4 linked regions of the Arabidopsis thaliana genome follow. The protein of the gene in region 1 interacts with the protein of each later gene in a pairwise test. Each region holds a gene or a part of one and is shown in the gene's direction. Other genes may lie near its edges.

The links.
Region 2: the proteins of IND (region 1) and SPT interact in binary tests that used the Arabidopsis thaliana proteins (3 or more experiments, as listed by UniProt).
Region 3: the proteins of IND (region 1) and ANK6 interact in binary tests that used the Arabidopsis thaliana proteins (3 or more experiments, as listed by UniProt).
Region 4: the proteins of IND (region 1) and IMPA-6 interact in binary tests that used the Arabidopsis thaliana proteins (3 or more experiments, as listed by UniProt).

Annotation. Positions count from the first base shown.
Region 1 is NC_003075.7:41,117-45,150, reverse strand, and holds IND (basic helix-loop-helix (bHLH) DNA-binding superfamily protein), read left to right. Parts: upstream 1-1,953; coding exon 1,954-2,550; 3' UTR 2,551-3,486; downstream 3,487-4,034. UniProt on the Arabidopsis thaliana protein: Transcription regulator required for seed dispersal. Involved in the differentiation of all three cell types required for fruit dehiscence. Acts as the key regulator in a network including SHP and ALC that controls specification of the valve margin.
Region 2 is NC_003075.7:17,412,087-17,416,906, forward strand, and holds SPT (basic helix-loop-helix (bHLH) DNA-binding superfamily protein), read left to right. Parts: upstream 1-1,996; 5' UTR 1,997-2,080; coding exon 2,081-2,590; intron 2,591-2,822; coding exon 2,823-2,933; intron 2,934-3,005; coding exon 3,006-3,071; intron 3,072-3,168; coding exon 3,169-3,234; intron 3,235-3,328; coding exon 3,329-3,574; intron 3,575-3,652; coding exon 3,653-3,722; intron 3,723-3,806; coding exon 3,807-3,859; 3' UTR 3,860-4,300; downstream 4,301-4,820. UniProt on the Arabidopsis thaliana protein: Transcription factor that plays a role in floral organogenesis. Promotes the growth of carpel margins and of pollen tract tissues derived from them.
Region 3 is NC_003076.8:24,625,289-24,629,527, forward strand, and holds ANK6 (Ankyrin repeat family protein), read left to right. Parts: upstream 1-1,898; 5' UTR 1,899-2,042; intron 2,043-2,489; 5' UTR 2,490-2,965; coding exon 2,966-3,490; 3' UTR 3,491-3,680; downstream 3,681-4,239. Other genes in the region: SNAP33 (soluble N-ethylmaleimide-sensitive factor adaptor protein 33), read left to right, coding at 1-78; AT5G61220 (LYR family of Fe/S cluster biogenesis protein), read right to left, coding at 769-1,032; AT5G61240 (Leucine-rich repeat (LRR) family protein), read left to right, coding at 4,197-4,239. UniProt on the Arabidopsis thaliana protein: Promotes anthocyanin accumulation through interaction with PHYA, especially in response to far-red light, high light and sucrose treatment, probably by triggering A3G2XYLT/UF3GT expression.
Region 4 is NC_003070.9:582,619-587,733, forward strand, and holds IMPA-6 (importin alpha), read left to right. Parts: upstream 1-1,641; 5' UTR 1,642-1,778; coding exon 1,779-2,000; intron 2,001-2,241; coding exon 2,242-2,338; intron 2,339-2,434; coding exon 2,435-2,526; intron 2,527-2,618; coding exon 2,619-2,750; intron 2,751-2,881; coding exon 2,882-3,067; intron 3,068-3,157; coding exon 3,158-3,324; intron 3,325-3,404; coding exon 3,405-3,483; intron 3,484-3,573; coding exon 3,574-3,702; intron 3,703-3,820; coding exon 3,821-3,948; intron 3,949-4,030; coding exon 4,031-4,418; 3' UTR 4,419-4,601; downstream 4,602-5,115. UniProt on the Arabidopsis thaliana protein: Binds to conventional NLS motifs and mediates nuclear protein import across the nuclear envelope. Acts as a cellular receptor for the nuclear import of the virD2 protein of Agrobacterium, but is not essential for Agrobacterium-mediated root transformation.

The DNA of each region.
Region 1 (4,034 bases):
AGAAACCGTGGGGTTTAGAAGAAAGACAAGAAATAGAAGAACAATGATGTTAAATTGCCTATTTTGGTGTATAGGAGTTGTCAAAAGAGGAGAGAGAGAAGAAAATTAGGTCAAAATAATGAGCACTAAAAATGGAGACATGTGTTGAGTAACTATTACAAGAGCGACTTATGCTTCCTTATGGCAATGATATCCAAACCAAAGTGCAACGCTCCTTTTTTGCCCTAATTTCGTAAAGTCTCTCTCCTTCTTCGTCCTTAGGAAAAACCCTAGAAATTTAATCCCTTGTTCTTGATCTTGCTTTTTGAGTAACCATGATTTTGACCACACACTATTTCTTCTATCTTTTGTGGTCTATAGGATTTTGCTTTATATGTGTTTCTTGTATTGCTCCGTACGTACGTATACGAATTTAAATGGTTATAACAAGGTTTATATAAACTAGCACAAATGAGTCCATGAAATTTGTTAGCGAAAAAGGTAGAAATATATTGAGTCTTTAAACGGCAATATATATAATTTTGCTGCAAAACTTAGCTTTAATCATGATCTAATGATATTTTCTTTAATTTCCTTTGCCAAATTAATCACATGCACGGATTTTTGGCAAGTTATGTGTCGAATTCTTCCATTCACACAACACTAAACTTAATTAGAACTCTAGGAAATATTTTAAAATGACAACTTTATCGAAAAAAATTTAGTTATGAAAACAATTCCAGAATTAAACATGAGCTATATAATTTAAGATAAAATGAAGTAATATTGATATGTATGTAATAACATATCTGATTGCGGTAAAAAAAAACATATCTGATTAAATTGTTCATGCAGGCCCATGTCACTATGATGTCATCACGTTTTTATTTTCACAATAACTAATATATATTCAAAAAAATAGTTTTGTCAGATTAAATTTTTTTTGGTGGTCAGCTTTCTCCAACCTACTAAACTAGTTTGGAATGTTCTCTTCTTTATTTTTCTTTTTCTTGATTTCTTATGTTTTTTATTTATGGAATTTTAAGACGGATTGTTTAGGTCGTTTCTCTCTTTTCTTGTTTTCTAAAGTTACTTTTGTAAACTCATCTCCTCCCAATTAGACAGTCAATCATATAGTTATCTTTTAATATATGTCTAGTTGATAAAAAAAATGAAAAAATACTGGTGGTAGTTCTACTAATGTTTGTGTAAAAAATCTGATATTATGAATCTAATCAATTTCTTTGATCGTATAATGTGGGTTAAATTTAGTAATTTTTTACATAAATAAGAACTGTAATGTTGATGTATATTGGGGAATCAGTATATTAGCTTGGGTAACTATACTTCTGGAAATACTTGAAGATTTAACTATTTGCAAAATTATAATTTAGTCCCGAAAAATACAGACGACGGGACACGACAACATATAAGCAGGTTTGAATCTTGGAAAATTTTGTATACATAACCTATATAAATACTAATGTTCTGGTTGGGTTCAAAAGCCTTTTCAAAAGTTCCATTTTTTAAATTCAAGGACATTTTACATAGGAAATAAGTTGAGTCATAAAAAATAATGGTTATTTTGTAAGGTTTTTTTTTTGATTAAAACGCACATATTAAGAAGTTAGTTTTTTTTCACTACCAAATATCAATTAATTTAAAACCATGCAACCATTCATAAAACAATACTATTAAAGAATATAAATAATCACAAAATATTAAATACACTTAAAATTTACATATAAATTTACAAAACATCTAATTAATTGAAACAGAAAGGAAAAGGTAAAATATATCATAAAATGAGACATATATCCTATAAAAAAAAAATGAGGCATATGAAGTAAATAATAAGAGACATGCATGTAAGCATTCGGTTAATTAATCGAGTCAAAGATATATATCAGTAAATACATATGTGTATATTTCTGGAAAAAGAATATATATATTGAGAAATAAGAAAAGATGAAAATGGAAAATGGTATGTATAAAAAGAAAGGAGTGTGCGACTCTTGTGTCTCGTCCAAAAGCAGATCCAACCACAGCCCCAAAAGAAGCATGATGGAGCCTCAGCCTCACCATCTCCTCATGGATTGGAACAAAGCTAATGATCTTCTCACACAAGAACACGCAGCTTTTCTCAATGATCCTCACCATCTCATGTTAGATCCACCTCCCGAAACCCTAATTCACTTGGACGAAGACGAAGAGTACGATGAAGACATGGATGCGATGAAGGAGATGCAGTACATGATCGCCGTCATGCAGCCCGTAGACATCGACCCTGCCACGGTCCCTAAGCCGAACCGCCGTAACGTAAGGATAAGCGACGATCCTCAGACGGTGGTTGCTCGTCGGCGTCGGGAAAGGATCAGCGAGAAGATCCGAATTCTCAAGAGGATCGTGCCTGGTGGTGCGAAGATGGACACAGCTTCCATGCTCGACGAAGCCATACGTTACACCAAGTTCTTGAAACGGCAGGTGAGGATTCTTCAGCCTCACTCTCAGATTGGAGCTCCTATGGCTAACCCCTCTTACCTTTGTTATTACCACAACTCCCAACCCTGATGAACTACACAGAAGCTCGCTAGCTAGACATTTGGTGTCATCCTCTCAACCTTTTTCATGTTGATATATTATATATAGATGCATAAAGATTCGATCCAAGATTGTATGGGTGTTTTAATATTATTATTCTAAGATATATGATGTACAATTGTGTACCAAGTTTCTTTATCTTGATATCATATGCATAAATAATTGGTGAATAAAAAGAAGATATTGATTGTAAACAAAAAAAAGAAGATATTGATTGTTAATTAGGGTTTGATCATTCTGTATGAAAGCTTTGGCCTGCAAATTAATTTTCGATATATATATATATATATGGAGAATATATATCAAATACTTTTTTAATTTGACTATAATTTGTATCAATTATCTGAATCTGATGAGTGTAGGTTATATATGGATTAGCAAAAAAGAAAACAACCATTATTACGCACCTACATTAAAAATCATCCACCAAAGAAGAAACCATCCTCAAGAGGGTTCCCATATTGGAGAATAATGAAAAATTTAAGAAGAAAAGGGTCGAGATTTCGACGGACAAGCATTCTGATTATTACAAACATATTTTAGAGAAATTTAGAAAGAAAATTAAACTAAAAATTAAAAAGAAGCAAACTGAGATAACTCTCTGTCTCAATGGAACGCCGGCCAGAAGTGATCATCGTGATTTTGGTTACCATCTTGATAAGGTCAATCGAGGAGTGTATCCGTTTCAAACACCACACGTCCACTATATTTCGCCAAGTTAAATTGAAAGGAAGATGAACAATCAAGAGATGTGGTAGTTATTTTGAATTAAGCATATCCAAAAAGACCCTAGGCGAAGCTGAGAGATCGCAAGTTCGAGTGACACTTGGAACGAAACTAATATTACATGATGTGGTTTCGGGCCTAAAGGAATTACGGGCTTCGGCCCAGAACCTCCTGATATTCAAAAAAAAAAAAAAAAAAGATGTTTATAATAATGATCTTTGAAATTAAACCTCTACATTTATCATAATATTCCTAAATAGTACGTAAATAAAAAACATGCAACCCATGCATATCCAGTCTTAAGTTTATACATATAGATAAATCTCAAACCATACAAATACCATTGTTCTTGTGATTTTTTACTTCCATTTCCTTTTTCCTCCAACGGTGTCATATAAAGCTAACAAATAACTCGTGATTAAACGGACATTTCCAATATGGGCTTTTGGGCCCATAGTGATATGGGTCTCCTTCCGATATCTTTGACTGCGCGTGCCTCCAAAGTTGCTGTAGAGAACAGAAAGAGGCCTTCGATCCTGGCTTTGTCCAGACAAAAGCTGCCTCATCTACCTGGAACTTCGGTCGAGGTAGTGGTGAAGGGGGGATATGTAATCTCAGACAACTCCACAGGTGACAAAACTAGACGTAATCCTAATGGGGACAGGGTCGGAGCTAGAGATAGCTGCAAAGGCTGGAGAGAAGCTAAGAGAAGAAAGAAAAGCAGTGAG
Region 2 (4,820 bases), about 17 Mb from region 1:
TTCGAAACTACCAACGAACAACTTAAAAAACATTGATCTTTTTAATAGCGTGAGTTTGATTTATGTTATCCTTGTTATGGTGCATATGTATTACGGAAACTTTGGTCTGTTTTAGATGGGTAAATAGTTGTATATGAGTAAATATGATATTGCCAGTGTTTTATATAAAGAAAAAGGGAAACGATGATAAAAGGTGAAAAAGAAGTTTAGGATCATCTTTGTTTTTTATTTTGTTTTCCGACTTTCAAATCAGACAAGACAACGAGGTATGGGTCTTTTAACATACAGAGACTCAACTTGAAAATTCTATCAAACCACCAATTAAAAAACCAGAGAAAACATTCAACTATCTTCTTAGAATCTAGACAAAATAAAAAGTGTATCATGCTGATTTTGAACAAATTATTAAAGAGATCTCAACCATCGTTTCATTAATATCTTTGACAATTCTAGAAGCCGTAGTAAATCTTGTCTTTTTATGTGTATATCTTGTTGAATTTGATAAGGATATTCAAAATAATGAGATATGTATGTTGAGTAATTGAGTAAAATCAGATCCCTTGTTTAATTTGACGATTAAACGCTTTTTTCATTATTTTTTTTCGCATTTTGTTGTGTATGTTCTCAATTACAAATTCCACTATAAGCATTTGGACTCTACAATGTCACTTTCTAATTCTGATATTTAATAAAACAATTATTTTGTATATGTATAAATAGTACCAGAAAAACGAACTTAATAAAATAATTGAATCAAAAGCAGATGCTGAACAAATAGCTGCAGCTTTTAGCAATTGTCTCCCATATGCTTTTCCTTTGTTTCAAAAATTGTATATACGAGGTTAAGTGAATGTTGCAATGAAATAAATGATGCAGTTTGTGCATTCATCAAGCGAACAAGTACGATTGATGTTTTCAGTGCAAAAACTAAAATAAAATACTACTAACAACTATATAGTGTAAATATATATAACTTTAACTTCTTTTTTTTTAAGTCTTCATACGCTGCGAACGATCAAAATATATTTACAAATTTACGACCAATATTTTAAAAATACTTCATTAAAGAATTGATGCTGCTGTCTGCACAGTTGAGAACGCAATTGGAAACTTTCGTGCATTCACTTTGTTCGCCGCAAATTGGATATGTGAACGTGGTCATCATTATTTATAGAATTATTCTATAAAACTTACTATAAAACACTAGATATAAAGCTGGATCATATAAAATGAATTTACTAAAAATTCGATAGTTAATTATAGCAGATGTTATGTTCCAATTTGAAAGCATACGAACGAGGTATATAGTTGAAAACACACACCGTAAAGTTAATAATTTTCACAACACAAGAACAAATCAAAGTCGCAAGTAATTTAACGCATGTCAGTAGCATGGGCTTCTTATATACTAGTCAATAGAATAAACTAGCAAACAAGCAACTAATGTATTCTTGTTTATCACGCCACGGGTTACAATATCATACAAAATTTGAATACTAATTAATGGTAACAAGTAAAAAAACAAATTACTAGAAATGGAAATACTTTTGTCAAACAACCAAGACGTATAACTTTCGTTTTCTATAGATTAATGGACTTCTTAAAAATCTCTCCATCAGATTAAACTTTGAGATATACAAATACAGTTTTTGTTTTCTTCTAAATGATATGAATATTAACTTTATCGATTTCATCCGTAGCAGATTTCCATTTTAAATAATAAACTATGAGAAAACAGATAAAGGTTGTATATTATTTGTTACCCCAAAAAAAAAAAAAACTAACTACGAGTAGTAGTTTAGTGTGTCTCACGTGCGACGAGGAAAAGTTTTGGGAGAGTAAAAACATTTAATATTTACGACTAGTTTGAAAAACCGTGAGCTGACACAAGCTCATTGCTAATGCTACAGTAACAGCTACCTTCACTTTTAACTAAATGACAGACCAATCATTTTAACCTCTGTTTTCTTAGCTGGCGCGTGACAGACACTCTCCCTCTCTCCATGCCCATAAAATCTCAAAGACTGTTTAAAAAAAAAAATGTTTTAGCTTTAACTGCTTTTTTTTTGTTGTTGGTGTAATGATATCACAGAGAGAAGAAAGAGAAGAGAAGAAGCAGAGAGTGATGGGAGATAAGAAATTGATTTCATCTTCTTCTTCTTCCTCGGTTTACGATACTCGTATCAATCATCATCTTCATCATCCTCCGTCTTCTTCCGACGAAATCTCTCAGTTTCTCCGGCATATTTTCGACCGTTCTTCTCCTTTACCTTCTTACTACTCCCCGGCGACGACTACAACGACGGCGTCTTTGATTGGTGTGCACGGGAGCGGTGACCCACATGCAGATAACTCGAGAAGTCTCGTTTCTCATCATCCACCGTCAGATTCTGTGCTTATGTCGAAACGTGTCGGAGATTTCTCTGAGGTTTTAATCGGCGGAGGATCAGGCTCAGCCGCCGCGTGTTTTGGTTTCTCCGGTGGTGGTAATAATAACAACGTTCAAGGAAATAGCTCTGGGACTCGAGTATCGTCTTCTTCCGTTGGAGCTAGTGGCAACGAGACAGATGAGTATGACTGTGAAAGCGAGGTTTTTTCTCAATCTCTGTTTTTTATCTTTTGCATGTTTTAAAAGTTGATTCTTTGTCTCTTTCCCGAGAAAATGTTTCTACAGAGATTTCTCTTTAACGGATCTGTACTTTATTTTCCCCCTTAAAATCCGCAATTTTTTTGGTTGTGATTTTGAGTGAAGTTTTGTCATTTGTGAGTGTAATAATGAATGCACACCGAGTGTTTGATAATTTGCTTCAATGAAAATACAGGAAGGAGGAGAAGCTGTAGTTGATGAAGCTCCCTCTTCCAAGTCAGGTCCTTCTTCTCGTAGTTCATCTAAAAGATGCAGAGCTGCTGAAGTTCATAATCTCTCTGAGAAGGTTTGGTTTAGAGTCTCTCCCAAAAGTAGAAACTTTCTTATTTGAGATTTATGTTTATCTTTCTTGTAACAGAGGAGGAGAAGTAGAATTAATGAAAAAATGAAAGCTTTACAAAGTCTCATCCCTAATTCAAATAAGGTAATGATACTATATATAGAGAGACATCTACATGAATCATTCTATTTTCTGTAGATTCTTTTTGTGTCTGATTATTGCAATGTGTTTATTGGGGAAGACGGATAAGGCTTCAATGCTTGATGAAGCCATTGAGTATCTGAAACAGCTTCAGCTCCAAGTTCAGGTCACTAAAGATACCTTATGTTTATCATTATAACCAAAATCCTAAAACCAGTCTATATTCTGACATAAGTCTTTTTTTGTTCTGATATTTGCAGATGTTGACTATGAGAAATGGAATAAACTTGCATCCTTTGTGTTTACCTGGAACTACATTACACCCATTGCAACTCTCTCAGATTCGACCCCCTGAAGCAACCAATGATCCTCTGCTTAATCATACCAATCAGTTTGCTTCGACTTCTAATGCACCGGAAATGATCAATACTGTGGCTTCTTCATACGCTTTGGAACCTTCTATTCGCAGTCACTTTGGACCTTTCCCTCTCCTTACTTCACCCGTGGTGCGTAGTTGAATTACACATTTTTCATTCTATAACCATAAAGCTAGTTTGCTTACTAATTTTTTTTTGTTACTTAAGGAGATGAGTCGGGAAGGTGGGTTAACTCATCCAAGGTTGAACATTGGTCATTCCAACGCAAACATAACCGGTAAAGTCTTGTTGTTTTGGAATCCTAAGGAAGTTTTAGGACATTTACAATGTTAATAACGTTACGATATTTGGGGATTTGCAGGGGAACAAGCTCTGTTTGATGGACAACCTGACCTAAAAGATCGAATTACTTGAACAGTGTCCCAACTTCGGGATCTCTATGTGTTCTTGTTTCTTAGAACGCAAGCCATAAAGCTGTCTGACAATGGAGATGCATTTAACTGTCTTTATTTTTTCTAAGGTTCTATTTAAAATCAATTGTTGGTGACACGAATTCTAGAGTCTAATCTTTTGGATCTAATAGCTATATATAAAAAGGACTGAAATTTTATTACAAAGTAATTGACTAATTGTTAGATTGTTGTATGTTTATGGTGGATGTAAATTTTCTAGATCATCTTCGTATTGTATTTGAGAGTTTGATACTCGATGGCTTTGGATATGTAAATTACCCCGATAAGCTTCTAGAGAAGTTTTCGATTCTACAAGATGGATTTGGTATCTTTAAGGTTGACCATGTTCTTTTGGTATCTCTTGTTCTCAAATTGATCATTTACAATACAATTTTTTAAAATCTTTTACCCTTCACATTTTTGTACTTACATTTGGTATATTAGTAATTTCATTTGTAAGTGTCTTTTAAAAGTTTTTCATTTATAAGTGTTGTTTTAAGATCTTTTATGATAATTAAAAAATGCTTAAATATCTTATTAACCCTTAATTAGTATACTTATAGCTTTAGTTCTCCAATTAATCTTTAGTAAGTAAAAGGGACAGAGCTAGAACTTTATTTAAAATTGGATTGAAAATACATAAATCTTATATTTTTTTCAAAAACTAGTATTGAACATACAATTTATTTATTTTATTTTATTTGTAAAACAACAATAAAAGTAAAATCATACAACGATATATTTTGAAAAAAGGAAAAGTAATTAGGATTCTCTTTCGGTGAAAATATCAGAGAACAAAATATATTTGAATGCGACTGTAGTTGAAACTTGAAAAAAATTTAGATACTAAAGTTTCGTCATTCTCTTTTTGTTAAAGACTCAGTGACGACCCTCTCCTAAAAAACACTCATAAATAAACTCGC
Region 3 (4,239 bases), on another chromosome or scaffold:
CTTCATGATGATGTTGACGAACTCAACTTCAGAGTGCAACAATCAAACCAACGTGGTCGCCGTTTGCTTGGAAAGTAGATGAACAGAGGGTTTATATGTTCATTACACTCATTCCTCGTTTGTTTTATTCTCTATGAAGTTGTTCTTTAAAACTGGAAAGATTCTTATCATGTTAAATACATTATTGCTATCTGTGTTTGTATTTGATCTTGTGACAAAAAACCAAAAAACTTATTGATCAAACAGAAGCAACTTTGGTATCGTTTTTATCTGTATCATAAAGCTTTCTCAAGAAATTCTGATAATAGATGAAATTATGAGTTTTAATCTCAGATTTATAACCTAAAAATATCAGTGCTAGAATACGACATAAGAATACAGAAACTCCAGACAAGTTGGAACATATGTTATGCAACAACTGCACAATCATGTGAGATTATTCAAAAGAACAAAAAAACCAGGAACTCTTCATTCCCTTTAGTCTTCCTCAGCTACAATCCAAGGGATATATTCCACAATGTCCTCTTCTTCACTTGTATAATGTCTGAAGCCATAAAACACAAAGACTACTAATGAGAACTAGACAAAGCAATCTGACATAGTTGGAAAGAACTATGAATAGAGGAAATAATAATCTCATACAAACACCACTTGTTCCCGAATCATATTCTCAAGCCACAAACTCGACAATCAATGAATATAAAGTGGCTCCAACATGACCATTAAAAACAAATAGCTTTGGAGGATATTGTAATGACAAACATACATCTACTGAAGCTTGACTTCCATGATGTTCTTGGTCTTGGGAGGATATGCCAAGTAAACCTTGAGCACTCTCTCAGCAACAAAAAGCTGTTTTTTAGCTTCAGCATAAGCCTCAGTCACCTTCGATGGGTCAGTGAGATTCTTGTTCATGCGGAAGCCATCCAAGGTCCTTCGCTTACTGTACTCCCTAATGTTGTAATCAGGGAATTGACGTCCCGCTCGAAGCAAGGCACGACATAGGCTAAGAACTTCACTACTAGACACCATTGCAAGATTGGAAACTAACCCTTAATTATACAAAGCCTGGTTAACTGCAATCAGTATAAGAACACAAAGAAGCTGAGATTAGCAATGCCGAAAAGGAAGAGAAGTAGTCAAGATGATCAAGGGATAAAGCTATACACTTCGACATGTAACAAGAAGTTATATAGATAAGTGAAAAGTATTAAGGACCAGTACATCATTTATAGAGCAAAAGAACCTAGATTCAGTAACATTAGTATATAGATAAGTATTGATTTGAGTAGTGTATATAAGGTATGAGAACCAGTTGCTGCAACATTAGAAACTAGGCACTAGAGTTCATGAAAATACGCAAAAGAACCAATATTAACTAATCGCAAACGCTTAAAACAATCAAGAAGAAACCTTAAAAGGCCATAAACGCACTTAGTAATCCTAAACTTCAGTAAAATGGATGAAATTGCAGTCACAGCCAAAAGAGACAATACATCTGAATCATGAGAGGATCCGATAAGCATAGAATTTGACGATAACGAGCTCCAGATACATATACATACCGAATCAAATCGTCGGAGAGTATTAATTTCCCGAGCTCGCCGTTGAAGTTCTCCGTTCGAAGGTTTTGATAGCAGCAAGCTGGGTCGTTCGGGGGAATAAATAAACTTTTAGGTTTACCCAAAACTAAACCGGGAAAACTGATTTGGGAACCGGATCAATTTTAGATTGAGTAAGAAAAGAACCGGTTTTAGAATGGGCTAGACACAAAGGCCTGTTAAATTGGGCCAATATGTGATAAGCCAGCCTTTTTTAATGAAGGTGTATGAGCTGGCATATTCGACAAGAAATAGTAAACAAAACCGATATTTATCATTCTCTGTCACGCCTTCTTCCTTCTCTACACGAATTCGATTCTCTCTTATCTCGACGAGAAAACCCTACTGCGAAAAAACTCCGATCTCTCTGGCGAGAAGTAAATTTTTATCTCTGAGCTTGGTTTCACCATTTCTCTATCTCTATCTCCTCGCTGGGTTACGGTACGAGCCTCTCAAACTTTTCGATTCCTTGTGTTCATAAGTATGTGTGAAAATCCTTGCGTGTCGAGATTGATTTTTCTCTTTTTCGTTTCGGATTCATCGTTGGATTCTTATTTCGTCAATGTTTTTCTGTGATTTGTTCTGATTCATGTGTAATTTGTAGCTGACTTGATTGGTGATCGATGATTAAAATTTGTACTCGTTAGTTCCCCCTTGATTCGATTGATTTTGTCTCTGTGAGGGTATTTTTTCTGATTCTATTGTATTGTTTGTAGATTTGCCAATATTAGAGACTACAAGTGTCGTAATTGGATTCTGAATGAACTTTTGAAACTCTACACGAGCTGGATTGTTGTGTTATTTATATTACAGAGAAATTTATAGCATTTTTGTTGTGTTCATCTGGTTTTCACTAATTTGGTTTTCTTCTCCATCTTTTGTTGATAGGTTTGGTAAGGTCAGTGTTCTCTAAGGCTGAAATTTGGGGGTTTCTCAGTCTCGATGTGGTCGTGCTCCGTTAGGATTCTTCACAATCATTAGGGTTATATTTCTTACAAACTGATGCTCATTTTCTCTTCCCTGTCTATGGCTTTATCTGTGATCCTTCAAAAGCTTAGTGTCTTCGGCCCTGGTTTGAATCCTTCTTTCCCTTACTGCATCGCCAATCACTCCTTTGCCTCCCGTTAATTGAGTTGCTCTCTTTCAACTTAATTACATTAGTCTGCTTCCTTTGCTGTCTAGTCTGGATAGTGTTGCAAATCAAGTAGTATCTTCTTTAGACATTCTTGGCTGAGAGATTTACACTAAAAGCATAGAATAAGAAACCCCTGTTTGGTTAGTATCTACCCGAGTCTCGTAGTCCTACACAGATCCGGATCCTAGTTTCGAAGCTAGTTCTTGTTTAGCTGAAGCTCAGACCCAAAATGCTCCAAGAACCGTCGGCTGCATTCTCCCTCCGGCGTAACTCATTCAGACGCCGATCTCCCAGATCAAATGTCGATGACAGAGGCTGGAATCCGCTCCATATCAAAGCCAGAAAAGGCGATCTGAAATCTGTCAAGCAGCTTCTCGACCAAGGAATGGATGTGAATGCTCTAGCATGGGGACCCAAATCAAAAGGAGTGAGTGCACTTCACCTTGCAGCAGAGGGAGGTCACATTGAAGTCATGGATTTACTCCTAGAACGTGGGGCCAACATTGATGCTAAAACATGGGGCTCATGCGGGTGGACTCCTCTCCACGCTGCAGCCAAAGAGCGGAAGAGAGAAGCAGTGAAGTTTCTGGTGGAGAACGGCGCATTCTTGGCAGATGATATAACTGATACCAGGTTTAATCCGCCGGTGCATTACTGTCACGGCCTTGAATGGGCGTACGAGGAAATGAAGAAGCTTAACAGCGAGTCTTCTTCTTCATCTGGTGGAGACACATCTTCCAGTTCTGACAACTGAACTTCTTCTTGGTTGTTTCTCGGTGTGTTTTGTTTTGTTTTCTAGTTGAGACTACTTATCAGAACTATTATGGTTGGTGTTTGATCTTATGGGCTATGTGAAACATTGAAACTGCGGATACATTCATGTAATCTTCAGTGTGTTATTTTGCAACTCCAGTTTGATATCCTAGCCGAATTTGATTTGTTTAACCGGTTCTGGATCAACCAAAAATATGAGATAATCGGTTTTGGTCTCTTATGAATCATTAAGTCTAAAAATTAATGCAGGTAATTGACATAGTGTGATTTAACATAATTGACATGGATATGTATATAGCTAGATTGCGAGGATGAAGCAAAGTTTTGCTCTTAATTGAGTTAGCACCATATGTTTCTAATCATTGTCATTTGTGTCTTAGGACATGTTTAACTAATTAAGGTAAGGAATGCAATAATTTTACACAAATGACAATTATTTGGTCGATACCCATTAACAAGATTGGTTCTATCTCTTCAATGAATGATTTGGTCGATACCCATTAACCAAAAAGAAAACATCCGGATCATTACCAGACCCGTCGGTGAGATAGCGGGTTTGAAATACACGGTATTCGGTTTACGAATCTCAGGAGGAGGAAGAGAAAATAAAAATGAGTTTTTTAATTTCGCTCTCTTCTTAGATCCCGTTTGTTCTCTTTCTCACTTTGGCTGTTTAAGCAAAAACCATGGCTTCTCGCTGTGAGCTACTTCTGATCTGCGTCTTCTCTC
Region 4 (5,115 bases), on another chromosome or scaffold:
CCTCCTCTGCCAGCGACAGAAATGGGAGGAGACGATGGTGATAATGATAATGAAGATGATGATGATTCCGAGGGTCGTTTATCAGAGACTATGGAGGTTTTCACGGCGGCTTCATCTTCATCATCATCAGGAATCTCGGGATATGGATCAGCCATGTCCTTATATGATGATGATATTGATGAGGAAGAAGATGAATGTTATAGTGATGTGGAAGGAGGAGACGATATGATTGATGAGAAAGCTGAGGTTCTATGCAATAATGAAGATGCAAAATCAGGTTTACACTGATCGTTGCAAAGCCAAAGGGATATATAGTGATGCATTAATGATCTTATTAATTATGGTTCGTATCATCTATCAAGTTTACGTCATCATCATTCAGGTTTTAATTTCTTGGTCATTTTTGGTTTTTGTATTATAATTTAATTTAATTCCTTTTAACTTTTTCTTCATTTTTGTTTCTGTAATTAGTGAGTGTATTTGAATTCATTAATGAGAAAATAGGAGAATGAAGTATATCTACTAAATTCTATTTGTGTTTGTGGGGAATGTTAAATTTGGTTTGCAGATTAAAGATCTCGTTAAATATTTTATGTTCAATGTTTTCAATCGGAAATTGGTCATATTAATAGCACATTTGACCAATTCATTGAATCGAGTTCTTTTCGAAAATTGAAGACTTTGATAATACCAACCGTTTATATTATGCATGGACATATGCGTAAGTGAAAAATCATACTGAGCGATGGTAACAATTACACAGTTGATTCCATTTCGTGAAAAACTCATAGAAACAACGGTGACAAATGAAGTTTCCATAGCCAAGAATTGGATCCTCGCCATACGATTAACCTACCGAGATGAACCAACGGTGATCATCTCTCTAAACTCCAAGACCAATCCTCAAGATGATGCAAAAATCTCGACTCTTCAACTATGCATCAAAACCAAATGCCTCATACTCCAACTACTTCATATGAAACAAAATACCAATCTCGGCGAATGCCTTAGTGATCTATTTCGTGATGAGAGGTTTGTTTTTGTAGGAATAGGTATTGCTAAAACTGTCGCTAAGCTCGGTGGGCTAGTTAGAGTAGTGGTTAAGAAAGTTGACGTTCGTGATCTGGTAAAGGTAAATTTTCCATTTAGTTATGGTGAGAGGTCAAGGGTTAGCTTGAAGGGTATGGCTTGTGAGTTGTTGGGATTTGGTTCGTGGAAACCGAAGAGGGAGATTTGTCCGAGAGACTTGGCTAATGAAGTTCTTGATGTAGAGGTGGTTAAGTTCTTGTCCGTTGATGCTTATGTTTGTCATGAAATAGCGTTTAAGATGCTTAAATACCAGGCCCAATTTATTGTAATCAGATTCATAAAACATTACTTTACTGAGCAAACGTTGGGCCGATATTGGGCTAATTTATATAATAAAGCCTCTTTATTAAAGTCAAAAGACAGGTCAGCATTAGTAATCACTATATTACTAAAATCGCGCTATACCTTTTGTAGACGTTGCGATTTCAAATTCAAAAGTTGTGGCAATATCGTGATTAATACTAAAGCCTAAGCCCAATATCGTCTTTTACCCGTAGCCTCCTCGAATCCCGACGTCACGTTGTATAAATTATATCGCATCACTCCAAAACCCTGATTCTCCTGCTCCTTCGTCTTCTTCATCTTCCTCTGAGAAATCAAAAACTCGATCGATCAATTCGTTGTTCGTCTACATCGATTCCTTCAGAACCTAGTGATCCTCTGTTTTGGTTGATTCGATTAAGCTAACCATGTCTTACAAACCAAGCGCGAAGACTGAGGTTCGCCGGAACAGGTATAAAGTATCTGTGGACGCCGATGAAGGTCGCCGGAGACGGGAGGATAACATGGTGGAGATCCGGAAGAACAAGAGAGAGGAGAACTTGCAGAAGAAGCGGCGTGAAGGTTTTAATCCTTCCATGGCGTCACAGCCAGGGCAGGATTTCTCCTCGTCTCTCCCTACGGAAACGAGAGTACGTTCTTCGTGTTCTATATCTAATTGATTGTGTTTCTCTCGTTTATGTTTGGTACCGAATTTAGATTGAGAACTAGTTAGGGTATCTCGGTGAATTAGAATGAAATTGAAAGCTTCTGATCTAGTTACCTAGATAAATAATTGGATCAGGAGTACTGAATTTTGGGGTTTACTGAACCCTAATTTCAGAATCTGCATTGCTTGAGGTTAGATAATAAGTTGCCCTGATTCAATTGCAGTTGGAGAATATACAACAGATGATTGCTGGAGTAATGTCAGAGGATAGAGACTTACAATTGGAGGCGACGGCTAGCTTCAGGAGATTGCTTTCAATTGGTACGTGATTTATAAATCTCTTAACATGGCGTTTAGGGTTTGATTGTTTTGTGGGTTTTAGTTTTTGCTTATTGTGGTTGGTTGAATTTTTTGTAGAGCGAAATCCTCCAATCAATGAAGTTGTTCAATCTGGTGTTGTTCCTCACATTGTGCAATTTCTTTCCAGGGATGACTTCACTCAACTTCAGGTGAGCTTGCCTTTCTTATATCTAAGTGTAGCTTGGTGCTTTGATTCATATGCTGATGGCTTTTGCTGTTTGCTTTGCTTGTATAACTATAGTTTGAGGCAGCTTGGGCGCTTACCAATATCGCTTCAGGGACATCTGAGAACACTAGGGTCATTATTGATAGTGGTGCTGTCCCTTTATTCGTCAAACTTCTTAGTTCTGCAAGTGAGGAAGTTCGAGAACAGGTATCAATTTAGATTCAATATCAATTTTCTTTCTATTGTTCTGGCAAAGAAACTCTTAGATCAAATTGCTGATGACTCGATTCCGACTGTTTTAACATCCTGATTTCTATGTTTTTTTCCCCTGATTATAGGCTGTATGGGCATTGGGAAACGTTGCTGGTGACTCGCCAAAATGTCGTGATCATGTCCTAAGTTGTGAGGCTATGATGTCTCTTCTGGCTCAATTCCATGAGCATTCAAAGCTCTCCATGCTGAGGAATGCTACATGGACATTATCAAATTTCTGCAGAGGGAAGCCGCAGCCTGCATTTGAACAGGTTTCCTTGCATATAAGATATATAAACCAATTTGAAGTGTTTTTTCTCAACTGTTTATTAATATGAGAATGTGTCATTGCATTTGTTGAGCAGACAAAAGCAGCTTTACCAGCTCTTGAGCGCCTTCTGCATTCAACCGACGAAGAAGTTCTCACAGATGCATCCTGGGCTCTCTCATATCTCTCTGATGGTACAAACGAGAAAATACAAACTGTTATCGACGCTGGTGTCATCCCTCGCCTTGTTCAGCTCTTGGCGTAAGTAATTTTCTTTTAGCTACCAATTCTATATCATTCACATATATCTTGACCTGATCTCGTTATCTGTGTCTTCTTAGTCATCCATCGCCCTCAGTTCTGATTCCAGCTCTCCGTACAATTGGTAACATTGTAACCGGAGATGATATTCAGACTCAGGTAGTCTATTATCCGTAACTGTCTGCCTTTTATATCTCCTATAGTTTTGATGTTTACTTAAGTAAATCATCTCTGTTTTCTCCATAACAGGCGGTTATTAGCAGTCAAGCGCTTCCTGGTCTGTTAAACCTTTTGAAGAACACATACAAGAAGAGTATCAAGAAGGAAGCTTGCTGGACTATCTCTAACATTACAGCTGGGAACACAAGTCAAATTCAAGTGAGTTATATACATTATTAACAAATAACAATGTTCAAAAACCAATATCTTTTCTTATAATTTAAAACCAGAAGTCGTATATACATTTGGATTTAACATCGATAAATTTGTTGTGCAGGAAGTGTTTCAGGCAGGCATTATTCGGCCTCTGATTAACCTGCTTGAGATCGGTGAATTCGAAATTAAGAAAGAAGCTGTTTGGGCAATCTCTAATGCAACTTCTGGTGGCAATCATGACCAAATCAAGTACAACAAATCTCATTGTTTCTGTCTCTTTTTAGTTTTTTTTTCAGTGATTCTTGTTATAGAACCTCTTATATCCTTGCAGGTTTCTCGTGAGCCAAGGCTGCATCAGACCCCTGTGTGATCTCCTACCGTGTCCCGATCCAAGGGTTGTCACAGTGACTTTGGAAGGTCTAGAAAACATTCTCAAAGTAGGTGAAGCCGAGAAGAATCTAGGCAACACAGGAAACGATAATCTGTACGCGCAGATGATTGAAGACGCAGATGGTTTGGACAAGATTGAGAATCTTCAGAGTCACGATAATAATGAGATTTATGAGAAAGCAGTCAAAATCCTGGAGTCGTATTGGGCTGCAGATGACGAGGAGGAAGATATTGGCGGTGTGGATGCTCCTGAGAATGTTCAGTCTTCCGGTTTCCAATTCGGAAACCAAAGTGGTAATGCTCCTACGGGTGGATTCAACTTTGGTTGAAGGTTTCTGTAGTATTCTCTCAGTTGCTTGAACTTAAGAACAAAGGTCGCTCGTTGTCTTTTCTAAAAACAGTTTAGGTTTTTTTTTCTCTTTTTTGGGTCATGTTTTGAGTGAATTTTGTATTTTTAGAAGTTTGGATATTTTGTTCTCTCGCGTTTAAGGCGGAAATTAAAGTGTTTCACTATCTGCTCTGCTATGTGCTTTTTAAGCTCTCCTGCTAAAAACAATTATGAAATAAATGCGATAAAAATGACTTCTTAAAGCTTCAAAATTTATGCAGAATCAACATCTACATGTCTTATTTACGCAAAAATCAGTTTAATGTTAATGCGTGACAAAATAAGAAGGAAAATAGACAATCAAAGTCGCGAATTAAATTGCAAATATTTAGTTAGGTAATGCGTTATAATGCAATTTTAATACGATCACAATAACTATATACTATTTATTTTTTAATGATCAATTTATTTTTTAAAGTTAGTATACATAAAAGTTTGCAAATTGTATTTATCTATAAAATATTTTTATTTTATAGTTTATAATTGTTATTAAGTAACGTCCTGCCAAACTCGTCCCGCCAACTCGTCCCATAAAAAAAACATTTATTTTATTAATGTTAATCTTATTTCTGATATGTTTATGAATTATTGTCTAATTATTTTGTAATTTTGTAGTAATTATATGCTATCAAATATCT